Linked DNA regions of Lonchura striata. The protein of the gene in region 2 purifies or fractionates together with the protein of the main gene of each other region. This does not show direct contact. Links are inferred from orthologs where the notes say so. Each region holds a gene or a part of one and is shown on either strand. Other genes may lie near its edges.

What was found. Proteins that work in one complex are often made in the same cells at the same time.
Region 1: the proteins of PGM1 (region 2) and GRHPR fractionate together in Homo sapiens (co-fractionation; 3 studies listed by BioGRID). This does not show direct contact. The link is inferred for Lonchura striata from reciprocal best matches to the Homo sapiens genes PGM1 and GRHPR.

What each region holds. Positions count from the first base shown.
Region 1 is NC_134642.1:86,311,800-86,318,934, forward strand, and holds the start of GRHPR (glyoxylate reductase/hydroxypyruvate reductase), read right to left. Parts: upstream 3,083-7,135; 5' UTR 3,010-3,082; coding exon 2,945-3,009; intron 1,927-2,944; coding exon 1,796-1,926; intron 1,720-1,795; coding exon 1,647-1,719; intron 1,102-1,646; coding exon 985-1,101; intron 846-984; coding exon 757-845; intron 186-756; coding exon 81-185; intron 1-80. UniProt on the Homo sapiens protein: Enzyme with hydroxy-pyruvate reductase, glyoxylate reductase and D-glycerate dehydrogenase enzymatic activities. Reduces hydroxypyruvate to D-glycerate, glyoxylate to glycolate, oxidizes D-glycerate to hydroxypyruvate.
Region 2 is NC_134611.1:6,053,164-6,060,274, reverse strand, and holds the start of PGM1 (phosphoglucomutase-1), read left to right. Parts: upstream 1-4,015; 5' UTR 4,016-4,147; coding exon 4,148-4,405; intron 4,406-7,111. UniProt on the Homo sapiens protein: Catalyzes the reversible isomerization of alpha-D-glucose 1-phosphate to alpha-D-glucose 6-phosphate. The mechanism proceeds via the intermediate compound alpha-D-glucose 1,6-bisphosphate.

The DNA.
Region 1 (7,135 bases), on a different chromosome or scaffold from region 2:
ACAGGTGACAGACAGCCCCTGGAGCTCTCCCAGCGGTGCTCCTGGCTGATGAGACACCACTGCCCTGGGGCCGTCCTTACCAAACTCAGCCCCGAACTCGGCCGCGCTCTCTGGCTTGGGGCTGTTGCCAGTGTAGAGGAACTTGCTGACCCCAAAGGGCTTCAGGCGCCGGGCCACTGCCTGTCCTAGGAGAGAGCCAGGAGGGTGTCGCTGCTGTGGCTGCACGGCAGAGCGGGCAGCAGCGCCTGAAGCTGCTGAAGGGCTGCTGCAGTGGGAGCAGCCCTGCCTGGCTGGTGGAGCCGCTCTGCTGCGGACACTGCCCCGGGGCTGCCCTGGCAGCGAGGGCAGGACCGGCTGCCTGCTGGCAAAGTCCACAGCTGGACCGTGCCGAGCATCCGTGGACTTTGGCACCCATTTGTGCAACCAAGGAGTGGGAGGAGACAGAGACTGCTGCAGGGCCTGACGGGGGTCGGTGGAAGCACATGAACACCCGAGGCTTTAAGGCTGAGGATGGCAAGCCACTGCAGCTGCTGGGAGAGGCTCTGCAGGCTCCCCTTGCTGTGCCCCCGGTGAGCACAGGCCACCACCCGGGCTGAGCCAGAGTCCCAGAGCAGTCTGGGCTGGGAAGGACTGCAAAGGCCATCTTACTCCAACCCTCCCACCCCAGCAGGGGCACCCTCCAGCAGCCCAGGCTGAAGGTGGGGCTCCGAGCTCACCCTGGCACTGCTGCAGGCAGTGCCTCTGAGCTGCACTCACCGATCCTGCCCAGCCCGATGATGCCCACGGTGCTGTCAGACAGGCCATACCCACACATCCACAGGGGCTTCCAGGTTGTCCAGCCACCACTGGCAGAGAGAGCAGGACAGGGATGGGGTCATGGAAAGCCGTTCAGAGCCCAGCCGCACGCCAGGTGCTCGGTGTGAGCCCCACAGAACGCTGGCCTGGCCCCTCGTCACCCTGGCAGGACCCCGAGCGGGCACTCACCTCTTGACCTGCTCGGCGGCCTCGGGCAGGCGGCGGCAGGCGGACAGCAGCAGGGCCACCGACAGCTCGGCCGTGGCGTCGGTCAGCACGTCAGGGGTGTACCCCACCCGGATCCCCCTGCAGCACAGCGGGCTCTGGGTGCTGCCCTGCCCGGGCTGGCTGCCAGCACTGTCCCCAGGCAGCCAGGTCATCCTGCAGCCCCCAGCCCTCCTGGAACTCCGGGGTCATCCTGCAGCCCCCAGCCCTCCTGGCACTCCCTTTCCCTGGGCAGACTTTGCCCAGCGCCACAGGCTCCTCCAGCCCTGGTGTGGTTGGGGTGACCCCAGCCACGATCCAGCAGTGGAGGGGTGTGGGCAGCTGACCCCACCGGCCCCGGGCTCTGGGAAAGCCCACCTGGAGGACCAGTGGGATGTGGGGCAGGGGAAGGGATCCAGAACCAGGGGCACAGTGCAGGGGGTCAGAGCAGGGGGAGGGAACGGAGCACGGGGGTCAGAGCAGGGCAGGAGGAGGCAGGAGGTGTTGGAGCAAGGCAGGAGGGGGCAAGAGGTGTCAGAGCTGGGCAGGAGGTGTCGGAGCAGGGCAGGAGGGGGGCAGGAGGTGTCGGAGCAGGTGAGGGTCGGGGCAGGAGGTGTCGGAGCAGGGCAGGAGCGGGGCAGCGCTACCGCTTCTTGATCTCGTCCAGCGCGAGGTGGTCAAAGCCCACGGACAGCGTGCTGATGACCTTCAGGCCGGGCCCTGTAAGACACGCCGGGCGCTGCCGTGGCTGTCCCGGGCCCGGGGCAGCACTGGGGGAGCGGGGCCCCGCACGCACCGGCCGCGTCCAACACCTCGCGGTCGATGCGGTCCGAGAGCAGGCAGAGCAGCCCGCGCGTCCCCGCCACGCCGGCCAGCAGCTCGGCCCGCGGCACCGGCTCGTCCGAGTCCCACTGCTGCACGCGGCACCTGCGGCACGGCTCCGTCACCACGGGCCCGGCACCGGGACCGGCACCGGCACCGGCACCGTCACCCAAGGCACCGGGACTGGGACCGGGACCGGGACCGGGACCGGCACCGGGACCGACACCGACTGGCACCGGCTCCGTCACCACGGGCCCGGCACCGGGACCGGCACCGGCACCGGCACCGGCACCGGCACAGGCACCGGCTCCGTCACCCAAGGCACCGGGACTGGGACCGGGACCAGCACAGGCACCGGCACCGGCACCGGCACCGTCACCCAAGGCACCGGGACTGGGACCGGGACCGGCACCGGCTCCGTCACCCAAGGCACCGGGACTGGGACCGGAACCGGCACAGGCACCGGCACAGGAACCGGATCCGGCTCCGTCACCCACGGCACCGGCGCCGGGACCGACACCGACCGGCACCGGCTCCGTCACCACTGGCACGGCACTGGGACCGGGACCGGCACAGGCACCGGCTCCGTCACCCAAGGCACCGGGACTGGGACCGGGACCGGCACCGGCACCGTCACCCAAGGCACCGGGACTGGGACCGGGACCGGCACCGGCTCCGTCACCCAAGGCACCGGGACCGGCACCAGGACCGGCTCCGTCACCACCGGCACGGCACCGGGACCGGGACCGGCACAGGCACCGGGACCGGCTCCGTCACCCACGGCACCGGGACCGGGACCGGCTCCGTAACCAACGGGACCGGGACCGGCACCGACCGGCACCGGTTCCGTCAGTCACGGCGCTGGGACCGGGACCAGAACCGGTAACGGGACCAGCGCCGGCGCCGACTGTCACCGGCCGACACCGGGACCGGGACCGGCGCCCGCACCGACCGGCACCGGGACCGGGACCGGCACCCGCACCGGGGCCGCCGTCGTCCGGGACCGACACCTGCACGGGCTCCGAGCCTGGCAGTGATACCAGCACCGGGCCCCGCACCGGGAGCGGCTCCGGGCCCCGCGGCGGCGCCGTCACCGACCGCCACCGGCGCTGTCCCCGCTCACCCGCTGGCCTGGGACAGCAGCCGCAGCCCCTCGGCCGGGATCCGCCGCGTCACGAACACCGCCATGGCCGGACAGCCCCGGGCGGCCGCAACGGCGCGGGCAGAGCAGCCGGGACCGCCCCGAACAGCCGGGACCGCCCCGAGCTGTCCGGGCGCACCGGGACCGCCCCGAACAACCGGGACCGCCCCGAACAGCCGGGACCGCCCCGAACAACCGGGACCGCCCCGAACCTTCCGGGCGCACCGGGACCGCCCCGAGCTGTCCGGGCGCACCGGAGCCCCCGCCCGCCGCGCCGGGGCCGCTCCGCCCCGGGCCCGCCTGCGTTCGGCCCCCGCAGCTGGGCGGGCGGTGTGGCCATCCACGGGCGTGGGGACAGCCCTGCCCTGGAAAAGGAGCCCAGGGCAACCTGGAGCTCTGCACAGCTCCTGACAGGAGGGGACAGCCGGGGGTCGGGCTCTGCTCCAGGAACAGGGACAGGAGCAGAGGGAACGGCCCCAGGGCAGCTCAGGGTGGAACCAGCAGGAATTTCCCCATGGAAAGGGAGCTCAGCCTGGAGGTGCCCAGGGAGGGTTGGAGTGCCCATCCCTGCAGGTGTCCCAGCAATTCCGGAGGTGCACTCGGAGCTCTGGGCTGGGGACAAGGCGGGGTCCGTGGTGTCGGAGGTCTTGTGCAGCCCGATGGACCCGCTGGTGCTGTGACAGCCACTGGCATGCATCTGTGCACATGCCTGCCACACACACAGACAACTCTGTGTGCACACACCAGTACCCAGCTGCACGTACAGGTGTGGACATTCTCACACATACAAAGTCGGGAGCTCCTCTGGTGTGAATTCCCCCCCACTGCTCTGGTGGCAGCTTTGGGGCATCCCTGAGACTGCGGATGGGCAACTGCCTCCTCTCACTCTGCCGTGAGACTGCTCATCAATTAGCTCAGATTTAAATTGCCTGCAGGCCTGATTCAAGCATGTTCGGAGGCTGCAGGTACAGGGCAGGGCAGCCCGAGGGAACGGTGATCTCGGTAGCTAACAGAGCTGTGCTGTCTCTTGGAATGAGCACAGAGGCAGACACGTAAAGACAGCACATGTGTGGGCAGAGGGACATGGAGTTTGAGGTACATACACCAGGATGTTGCTCCATGTGGAATTCGTTCTGCTGCTCCAGGTGGGATTTCCCTCTCTCATGATGTACCATCAGCATGCTGTCAGATTATGCCAGCAGAATTGGTTTTATTTTTAAATAATTGCTTGAAAGTTTGTTTTATGCTGCCGAGCTGGATATCATGCGAGCTGACACCTTGTCTGTCTCCCTGATCAGTGGATTAGTGTCGGGAGTACCTGCTCTCCAGTGTGACTCCTCCAGGCTCATCCTGCTGGCGTTTTCCACTCCCGATTCCTGGTCCTGGTGGATGTGGTGGAGTCACCCCCAGACACTTCAGCAACCTCCAAGCTCTGGGCCAGTGCTCCCAGCAGCACCAGAGACCCAGGGACCCCCAGAGAGGGTCTATTTACAAAGCAAAGTGCTCATTTCTGGCCACAACGTGGTTTTACCCATTAAAAGCACCTGTAAATGGTCTTCAGGTGTGGAGCCCCCAGCCCTCCCTGGGCGCCCTTGCAGGGGAGGCCGTGGTGCTGTGCTCCTGCTCTGCATCTCTCAGGGGTCACCCTGGCTCTAGATAACATCCCTTGTTGCCCATTTTGGGGTTTCTGGATAAAACCCACACAAAGGTAAATGCCCAATTCTGTTTGCACCCTGTGGTTTGTTGCAGGCAGACCTGACTGTCCACCTGTGGAAAACTGAAAACCTTTCCAAGAGGGCTGGAAGAGAGGCAGAGGGGCAGGTGGTGGGACACCCACGACACTCCCACACCTCCCTGACACCCAGGTGAGGGCTGCCACACCTCCACGCACCCGTACACCCCTCCTGCTGCCTGGTGGGAAGGACAGCGGCAAAGCTGGGGATGCCACCCTCTGGTGCCGCTGCAGTTTGGTGTCAGGGCGGGGCAGAAGAAACCACCAGCCTCCCTCTCTGCAGGGAAACACCGGCCCCCGAGGCACAGAGGGCAGCTCTCCAGAGGCCACAGGAGCCTGCAGCTGTGGCAGGCCCTTGCAAAAAGCCAGAGAATGACTGGGTCTCTGCCAGAGAGACCCATCCCCACCCCCATCCCCACCCCCATCCCCATCCCCATCTGCATCCCATCCCGTCCCGTCCCGTCCCGTCCCGTCCCACCTCTCTGGGCTCTGAGGAGGAGCTGTGGCTCTCGGGAGGGCAGTGACAGAGGTTGGGTGCCCAGTTTGTTGTCCAGAGCCCGTTTGCCAGGACCCACCTGATTAAGGGGTGTGAAAAACACCAATCACTTGGTTTTTAAAATTTTAAAAGTTTAATAATAATAAAATGGTTATAAAATTAGTAATACAATTAGAGTAATAAAATTTAGAGTTAGGACAATTGGAAGACAATAAAAAGCAAAGAATTATGGACGTCGATGCTCTCAGACACTGAGTCATGAAAAGCATGCCTTGTGAACAAAGGAATAGTCTTAAAAACAGCAGCCTGTTGCATATTCATATATCTCATACATGATGCATAAATTCCTTGCAAATTAAGAACTTTTCTGGTTTTTGTCAACTTCCCCTTAATCTTGATGGTTCCACAAAGATGGAAAAAAGGTGGAAGAATATTTGTTTTTCCTCATAAGGAGGCTGTAACTCTTCATGGGCCCCAAGTCACTGACACCTCTGCGTGAAGAGTTTCTTGATTATCTCATCTCTTGCTTGAGCTAGTAAAAAATATATTACATTGTAGAGTTTCTATTTTAACATTGTGTTATAACCTAAATCTGTATTTAACACACTACTTAAGAGAATTAATACAGCATAACTTTCTAACATCACACATGTAATATTCATTGTAACACTTGCAAAAAGCCAATCATAAAATGCGCATTTTTCACAACGGGGAGCCTGTCCTGCCATGGGGTGTGCGAGGACAGGTGTCCCTGTGTGTCCCCGTGTGTCCCCGTCTGTCCCCATGTGCCCGTGTGTCCCCGTGTCCCTGTCTGTCCCCGTGTGTCCCTGTGTGTCCTCGTGTCCCTGTGTCCCTTTGTGTCCCCTTGTCCCCGTGTGTCCCTTTGTGTCCCCGTGTCCCGTGTGTCTATGGGTGTCCCTTTGTTACCCGTGTTCCCGTGTGCTGCTGGCAGCAGGATCATCCCGCCCGGGCCGTGCCGTGGCTCCGTGTGCCCGTGTCCCTTTATGTCCCCATGTCCCCATGTGTCCCCGTGTCCCCGTGTGTCCCTGTGTGTCCCTGTGTGTCCCTGTATCCCTGTGTCCCCATGTCCCTGTGTGTCCCCGTGTCCCCGTGTCCCCGTGTGTCCCTGTGTGTCCCCGTGTCCCCGTGTCCCCATGTCCCTGTGTGTCCCCGTGTCCCCGTGTCCCCGTGTGTCCCTGTGTGTCCCCGTGTCCCCGTGTCCCCAGGTCGCTGTGTGTCTCCGTGTCCCGTGTGCTGCTGGCCGCAGCAGCATCCCGCCCGGGCCGTGCCGTGGCTCCGTGTCCCCGTGTCCCCGTGTGTCCCTGTGTGTCCCCATGTCCCCGTGTCCCCATGTCCCTGTGTGTCCCCGTGTCCCCGTGTCCCCATGTCCCTGTGTGTCCCCGTGTCCCCGTGTCCCCGTGTGTCCCTGTGTGTCCCCATGTCCCCGTGTCCCCATGTCCCTGTGTGTCCCCGTGTCCCCGTGTCCCCGTGTGTCCCTGTGTGTCCCTGTGTGTCCCTGTATCCCTGTGTCCCCATGTCCCTGTGTGTCCCCGTGTCCCCGTGTGTCCCTGTGTGTCCCTGTATCCCCGTGTCCCCATGTCCCTGTGTGTCCCCGTGTCCCCGTGTCCCCGTGTGTCCCTGTGTGTCCCCATGTCCCCGTGTCCCCAGGTCGCTGTGTGTCCCCGTGTCCCCGTGTCCCCGTGTGTCCCTGTGTGTCCCCGTGTCCCCGTGTCCCCAGGTCGCTGTGTGTCCCCGTGTCCCGTGCGCTGCTGGCCGCAGCAGCACCCCGCCCGGGCCGTGCCGAGGCTCCGTGTGCCGTCACCCCGGCAGGGTGGGTGTCCCCCACCAGCCTCCAGCCGTGCCCACCCCGGGGCGGGGCTGGGTGTGCCGCTGCTCCTGCAGCACCCTCGCACCCCAATGCAGGAGTGTGTCCCTGCTGCAGCCG
Region 2 (7,111 bases):
CACATGGTGAGTCTGACTCTTTAAATCCACAAATCAGATCTTCACAGTTCCTGTTGGAGCATCACTGATCAGCAGAATTGTGGCTGTGCAATAATTTTATGTCAAAAAGGACAGAAACTGTAAATCCAGGTGTGATGATAGAAGCAGCACTAGGCTGATGCAGTGACACTGTTGCCTGCTGCTCCCCAAATTTACTGCGTCCTTGGTTCCTTCCTAACTGAAGGTGTTTGGAGTGCCAGGCTGTGCCTTGCATGTTAAATAGTGCCTGCTTTTGTTTTATAGCTGCAGGACAATCAGGCTTTTATTAGGAATGCTGCTCTCTCCCCCAGGAAGTTTGTGTTGGCTGCTTTAACCTTTCTGTCCCCTCAGTTACCCAGAGAAACCAAGTGCTCAAACCTGTTGCATTTATTTATCACTGCTCTCCTTTGGTAGCTCCCTTTTTCTTTGTGCTGTTCTGCCACAGCTCCCACACCATTTCCCACTGAGATCTTCCCTTTGAGTAAAAGATCCTGGGATTCAAATAATCAAAAGAAAGTGCTTATAGAGAGAGAAAGTTCTTCCAAAAAACAACCAGGGTTAGATGTGGTGATCCTGGATCCTTCAGGCCAGAAGGAAAAACCTCAATTTCTGACTTTCTTATGTTACTGTTTTTCTCAGAGGCAGAAGGGGAAATTGAGATGTGATATCTAAAGTGAGGAAATAAATACCACTTGTAGCTATTTCCTGGCTGCAGATGATATGGATTTTAGAAGACAGCAGCTGCAGTAGCTCTCACAGCCTCTTTTTACACCAGCCTAGACTCTTTTTGCCTGTAAAGTTAATTGCCTTATGTCAGTTTACAGTGGAAGGTGATTAAGTATTTAGGTTGTCCAGTTTCAGTGCCCCTTTGGAATTTTAAACTCTGCACTCATGAAACTCCAGCTCAGAGCAAGAGCTAAGGTGCTTTGCAGTTAATCTCAGCAAATCCAGCAGGCAAAGTTGAAATTCATCCTACCAGGGATTTAGCTGTAATCTCCTGGGACAATGCATGGGCAGACACCTTAGCTGGGGCTGGGCTGGCTGGGCAGAAATGCCTTCCCCTTGTCAGGGCAAAGTTTGGGACAGGGAGCTGGGCTGGAGAGCTGCTGTCCAGGTGTTATTCCAAATCTGAGCTCACCAGCATTGAGAAATGCATCCTGTCATGACCCTGAGCTGGCCAAAATATTGATTAATGCTTCAGATGAGGAGATGAAATGTATTTTAAAAATAAACAGAGATGGCTTAGATATCAGTAAGAACGAAGAATTCTGAAGTAATCAAAGTATAACATCTACACTTATAGTACATATTCATAGTACAAGTTGCAGAGTAACAAAATAAACAGCAGGTGTGATGGGGAGAGGACAAACACAGTTGTCAGGAGCACCCAGTCATCCAGAAAAACATCACTTCTTGATTTTAAAATAAATTTGTTTTAAGTGAAAATCAGGAAATAAAGCCTCGCCAGGAGCACAAGTCCTGAGCTGGGGGACCAGCCCTCAGAGAGGATCTGGTCTGGGTGTGGGAGATTCCAGCAGGACTGGCTGAGGGCATTCTGTAGGGAAGAAATTCCTCCCTGTGAGGGTGCTGAGGCCCTGGCACAGGTTTTCTATGGAAGTTGTGGCTGCCCCTGGATCACTGAAAGTGTCCAAGGCCAGGTTGCACAGAGCTTGGAGCCACCTGGGGTAGTGGAAGGTGTTTTTTGGGTTCAGGTGCAGATTTCCAAGAGCACTCAGAGCTAGGGGCTCTATCTCAGCAGGCTGGGGCCAGAAATCCTGGAGCACTGAGGGAATACTGCTGGAATCCCTCCCCTTTTCCCTGCTGCGGGGGCTGGACAGCAGAGATAAAATGCAGATTTGGGCATGCTTTGAGGGGCTGCCCATGGAACAGAAGGTTTCACAATCCTGGTGGCTGGTGTGTGCTTCCCTGGAAAGGAAGGCTCAACCCCTGCAAGTGGGACAAACCTGGAGATGGGGACTCATTCCCAGCCCTGCCAGTCCCTGTCTCTGCCACCCAACTTTTCAGTTGTTGTAGGAACAGAACTGTCTCTTCCTTCTGGAGTGATTCAAATGTGAGTGCACTTGTGCTGTTGAGATGGTGCCAGATATCTTTTTTTGCCCTCTGGAATCTCTACAGCAACTTCCAAACTGGGATTTTTAATTAATTCTTAATAGAAGCAAAGTGTGAGCAGCACTCCTTGTATGACCAATAACACCCTTGCAATCTATTTCTTTTTCTTGGGCTCCATTTGTTCTGGCATTACCAAATGCCACTCCCAGCCATGGCTGCCTGCACTAGAGTCATCCTCAGCAGAAATGTTATTATTATAATATTATTTTAATATTAATTTAATAGAATGTGCTTGACTTTATGTACATAAACACTGCATGAATGACCCTCCTCCCCTGCTTAATTTAGCTTAATTCCTCTGTCTACTCCACATGCACTGAATTACACACAAATCCCCACCCTTCACAGGCTTTTCCCTGCCAGTGAATCCAAGCACATCCTGCAGTCACTGCTGGGTGTCCTGTGCCCTCCTCCTGTCACTTAATGCCATGGCATTTCCCAGGGCAGCAAGCAGGGAAATAGCTTGCTTGGGCCTTTTCCTGCCAGGTGTAATTTTGGGAGCTGGATTTTGGGTTCTGTGCCACTAGAGGGAAACCTGGGCTTTTGCATGGAAGTAAAGAGAGCTGCAAGATGTTGGAATAGTGTGGGTGGATGAAACACAAACCAGTGTTGCTGTGTATCCCAGGCAGTCTCACTGCTGGGGTAAAAGGTGTGTTGGGTCACACAAATTATCCAACTCCATTTCAATGTGCTGATGGATAAATCAGGATCCTGAGGACATGGTCAAGTGGTGGCTTTGGCAAGGTTAGGATTATCTGGATTATCTCAGAGGGCTTTTCCAAACTTCACGGTTCTGTGATCATTTTTGGAAGAAAAGATGTCAATTATTGGAGCAATGACAGAACCAGCACAGGGAAGAGTCCCTGAGCACCTTCAGACCTGTCACAATTCAGCTGTTTGTACACAACTCCTTTTTCCTGCCTTCAAGGGTGGGACAAACAGAGTCATTACCAAGTGTCTGTTCTTTAATTGCTCCAGTGTTATCTATATATTGTTTACAGAGGACTCTGAGTGTTGTTAAAGAGGCTTGGAGGAAAGGCTGATTTTACAATCATGGAATGGTTTAGATGGGAAGGGACCCTAAAGCCCATCCTATTCCCCCTGCCCTGGGCAGGGACACCTTCCACTATCCCAGGTTGCTCCAAGCCCCATCCAACCTGGCCTTGGACACTTCCAGGGATGGGGAGTCCACAACCTTCCCTTCTTTCATTTACCTTCCCCATGCTTGGGGTGATGAGGCTCCACAGCAGTTTCATGGGATCTGAGTCTCTTTCTGTTTGTGTTTAGGCTGCCCCAAAATGAGCAGCATTATGGGATGCAGTTTCTCCCAAGCATTTGATGGTTTTTTGTGGTCTTAATCTGGATGAGACTTGCTGAGGCTCATGAGGCTTTCCAGTCAAAGGCTGACCAGCTGTTTCTGCTGGAAATTCTCCCTGTGGTTCAGGGAGCCGTGGGAAGTCAGGTTGTCAGGGCAGGAGTCGCATGAGCAAACGGGAGGTAACAGATCTGTTCCCTTCCATTTTAAGAGTGACCTTTAACTCACCAGACTTTGCAAAATAACTCCAGCAGGATCCTGCTGGAAGTTTGTCTCCAGAGCCCAGCGTGCCCCAGCCCTGGCCTGTGGATCTGGGAAAACACATCCCAGCAGGGCTGGGCTGCTCCTACCTCCCTGCCTGAGGGAGATCCACAGGGATTGACACTGCTGGGCTCCATGGGATGGCTGGGAGCAGTGCCTGTGGCAACCAGGAGGTGACAGAGAAGACAGGAATCCTTTCCAGTGAGGGACAGCAGTGTGGAATTGCGAGTTCTCCCTGACATTGATCCCCTGCCACAAGTGTGAGGACACGGCTTCGGTTACAGAAGGTGCAAGGAGTTATTTTTGGGTGTTCAACAGCTCCCCCGAACTCCTGGCTCATAGGTGGGCCATTGCTGTGTCAAGGTTTTGGGGGTTAATTTTGCCATATTTGACTTTTTAAATGCATCTGTGTGAAAAAGGGACATGGAAGACGCTCCCCTGCCTCTGGTGACGGTGCCAACAGCTCCCTACAGCGACCAGAAACCGGGAACCAGCGGCTTGAGGAGGAAGACCTTCTACTTTGAATCCAAGCTGAACTATTTGCAGAATTTTATCCAGAGTATATTTTTTTCCATAGACCTAAGGGATCGCCAAGGAGCCTCTCTGGTGGTTGGAGGTGATGGGAGGTACCTCAATAAGTCTGCAGTGGAACTGATTGTCCAAATGGCTGCTGCCAACGGGGTTGGTAAATGTTAAAGGGCTGAATTCCTGTGGGGTTGGCTGAGCAGAAATCCATCAGAAATTAGGCACTGTGAGATTTAATTTCCCCAAAGGCTTTGTTTAACTGTTAATAGCAATGTTTTTAATGGCAGATCAGTTGGGGAGTGCAGAAATTACTGGTTTTTCACTCTAAGTGTTGCAGTTGGGCAGGGAGTGCACGTGGAGAAAGGAAAATAAATTCTGCCTGGGGTTTGTGTGTTCCTGTTTTGTGCTTTGACATGTCCCAAGCTGTTGGCACCTGTGGATTTTTCAGTGTTTCCATGAGAATATAAAGCCCTGATACTGTTCAGAAATGAACTACCAGGGAGAGCCACCAGAGTGGCAAAGGAGAACAAACAACCATGTTTTGCCTTTCTCACCAGGTGTAAGTTGTGGCAGTGAGATAAATGCTTAGGGAGCCTTTGAAAATTGATATGAGGGTTAGCAAGTGAGTGACAGCCTTTATAGGGAGCTCAGTTGTGCTGGAATTCTGTGTTTTGGAAGCAGAGCAAGAGGTTTGTGTGTTTGTGCAAGATTGTGGTTCATGCAATGGGCTTTTGTCTTTGTTTCTTTCTGCTTTTTTAAAAGAAAAGGCTCTGCTGTCTATCCTGGATCTCAGTGCAGAACAAACTTTGTGCAAAGGGACCTGGATTTTAGGAATTTGACAAAAAACATGACTAGGACAGTGTAATCGGTAGTGACTGGGAAAATAGGATGAGATTTTTTTTTTTCATTTATTTAAAAAATCAATCTATTTTCCATCTTGTGGGGGAAATATCTTCAGGCATTGCAGATTAATGTCTTCCTTTGAAATCAGTGTATGGGCAGAGCAGAAGAGCTGGAAAATGTTCACAGAGCCAGGCTTGGAGTGCCCAGCACCAGGACAGATCTCCTGGTGAGAGGAGATCGGGCTCATCTTCACCAGCTCAGACTCTGCTCTCTAGCAAAGAACTTTTCCTGGGCCCAGGTCTGCCTAAATGGGATTGAGAGGGTGGTTTGGCTATTTTCCATGGATTTTTCTCAGTCTGGCTGGTGCCTGTCAGTGTTGTGCTCAGGGTGTGGGATTGGTGGCTTGGGCTGCATTTCCTGCACGGAAAAGGCTGCAGGGATGGGCTGGGGCCACCATGGAGCTGCAGCCACCAACTTCCATGGCCTGGAAAAGTGTTCCCAGTGTTCCTGGGGGGAGGAGGGGCTGCAGGAGCTCCCTGTGTGCATCCTCATGGGGCTTTCAGTAAAACCAGGGTGGAATTATTGTCTGGATGGTTTGGAAATGCTGTAACCCAAACTTGCTGCACAAAGTGGGTCTGTTTTGAGAAATCCATGAAAGGTGTTTGTCCATCCTTGCAGCCTGAGGTTTTCCTCATAAGAAATTCCACAGACTCAAAAAGGATCATGTGTAAATCGTTCAGCACATTGTTACACTGTTAACCTTCCCCAGTGGTTACCACAAAGAATTCAGCATTGGATGGGTGGGGAATGGCAGCTGAAAACTTTGGGAAGCCAAGGAAGACCCAAATCACAGAGCAGCTCACATGGAAACCAGTGTTTCTTCCTTTCCTTATTTTCCCCTTCTTCTGCAGCATTCCTGGGGCACTGATGCCCAGGGGTGCTGCAGAATGTGACCCTCAGAGGGAAACTGGGGAGCAGGAGGGAAAGTTTTGCGTGAGGTCCCATGAATTCTCAGGGAAGCTGAAGGAGCAAGGTTTGGAGGCTGGAATAAAGCACAGGACAAGGGGTGTCTGAGAATGAGGGAAAAGCAAACCCTGCATCAGATGAAACGTAAGGTGCAATAAATGAGTGATCAGTGTGTGGGCACAGTCAGGGCTCCAGTATGAGCTGCTGTGGGCAGCTGGAGGCAGGGCCCTCACTTTGGGTTTGTAAAGTGCTTTTTTCACATTTCTGCTGTTATTTGCTAGAAGTGCAGCTCTGCCAGCAGCTGGGCTGTGACAGCTGGGCTGGGATGGGCAGCGAGGTTGGGGCTTAGCACCTGGCAGTGCCAGGGGACAGGAATCACAGCCATCCTGTGCCCTTGGCTCAGCACCCACCACAGCTTGGGAATGCTCCTCTTGATTCCTGCTCCAGCTTGTGACGGAATGAAATCCCTCTTTTCCCAGTGTGTTCTGGGTCTGACCCCCTTGGTTGGTGCAGAGGAGTCTGCTGTGGTTTTAAATCCTGTCACCTCATCTGGGGCTGTGGGAAGGAGTGTGTTCTTCCAGGGAATTCTCCACCTCCTGGTTTATTGCCTGGGTTCTGGAGCTGGTGTATCGCTCAGCACATTGTTCTGGATCCAATCTCAGAGATATCCCTGGATTTATGGGAAGGAGGTGTGCTGCCCACTGCAAGGAAGAACATGCAGCTGCTCCCAGAATGTTCAAGTTTTGTGTTCTTTTGGCTTCTCTCTGCTCCATTGTGTGTTTTGAAGGCAAATTTTGATACCACAGCCAGAGGGAATGCTGTTTTTTGTGGTGTTTAATGCCTGTGGAGAGCTCAGCCCTTCAGTACATCCAAGTGCAGCATTCATGGAGGGAAATGCTCCAACAGAGCGGGGTTGGATATGCTGTGGGGAGCTTTGCAGGAACAGGGCTGTGCTTCACCTGTTGGCAGGGTTTGGGGTTTGGGCTGTGTGGGAAATAGTAAAGATAAGAAGACTTCCAGAAAGCTGTGAAAGCAAGCCTCAGAAACAGAGCA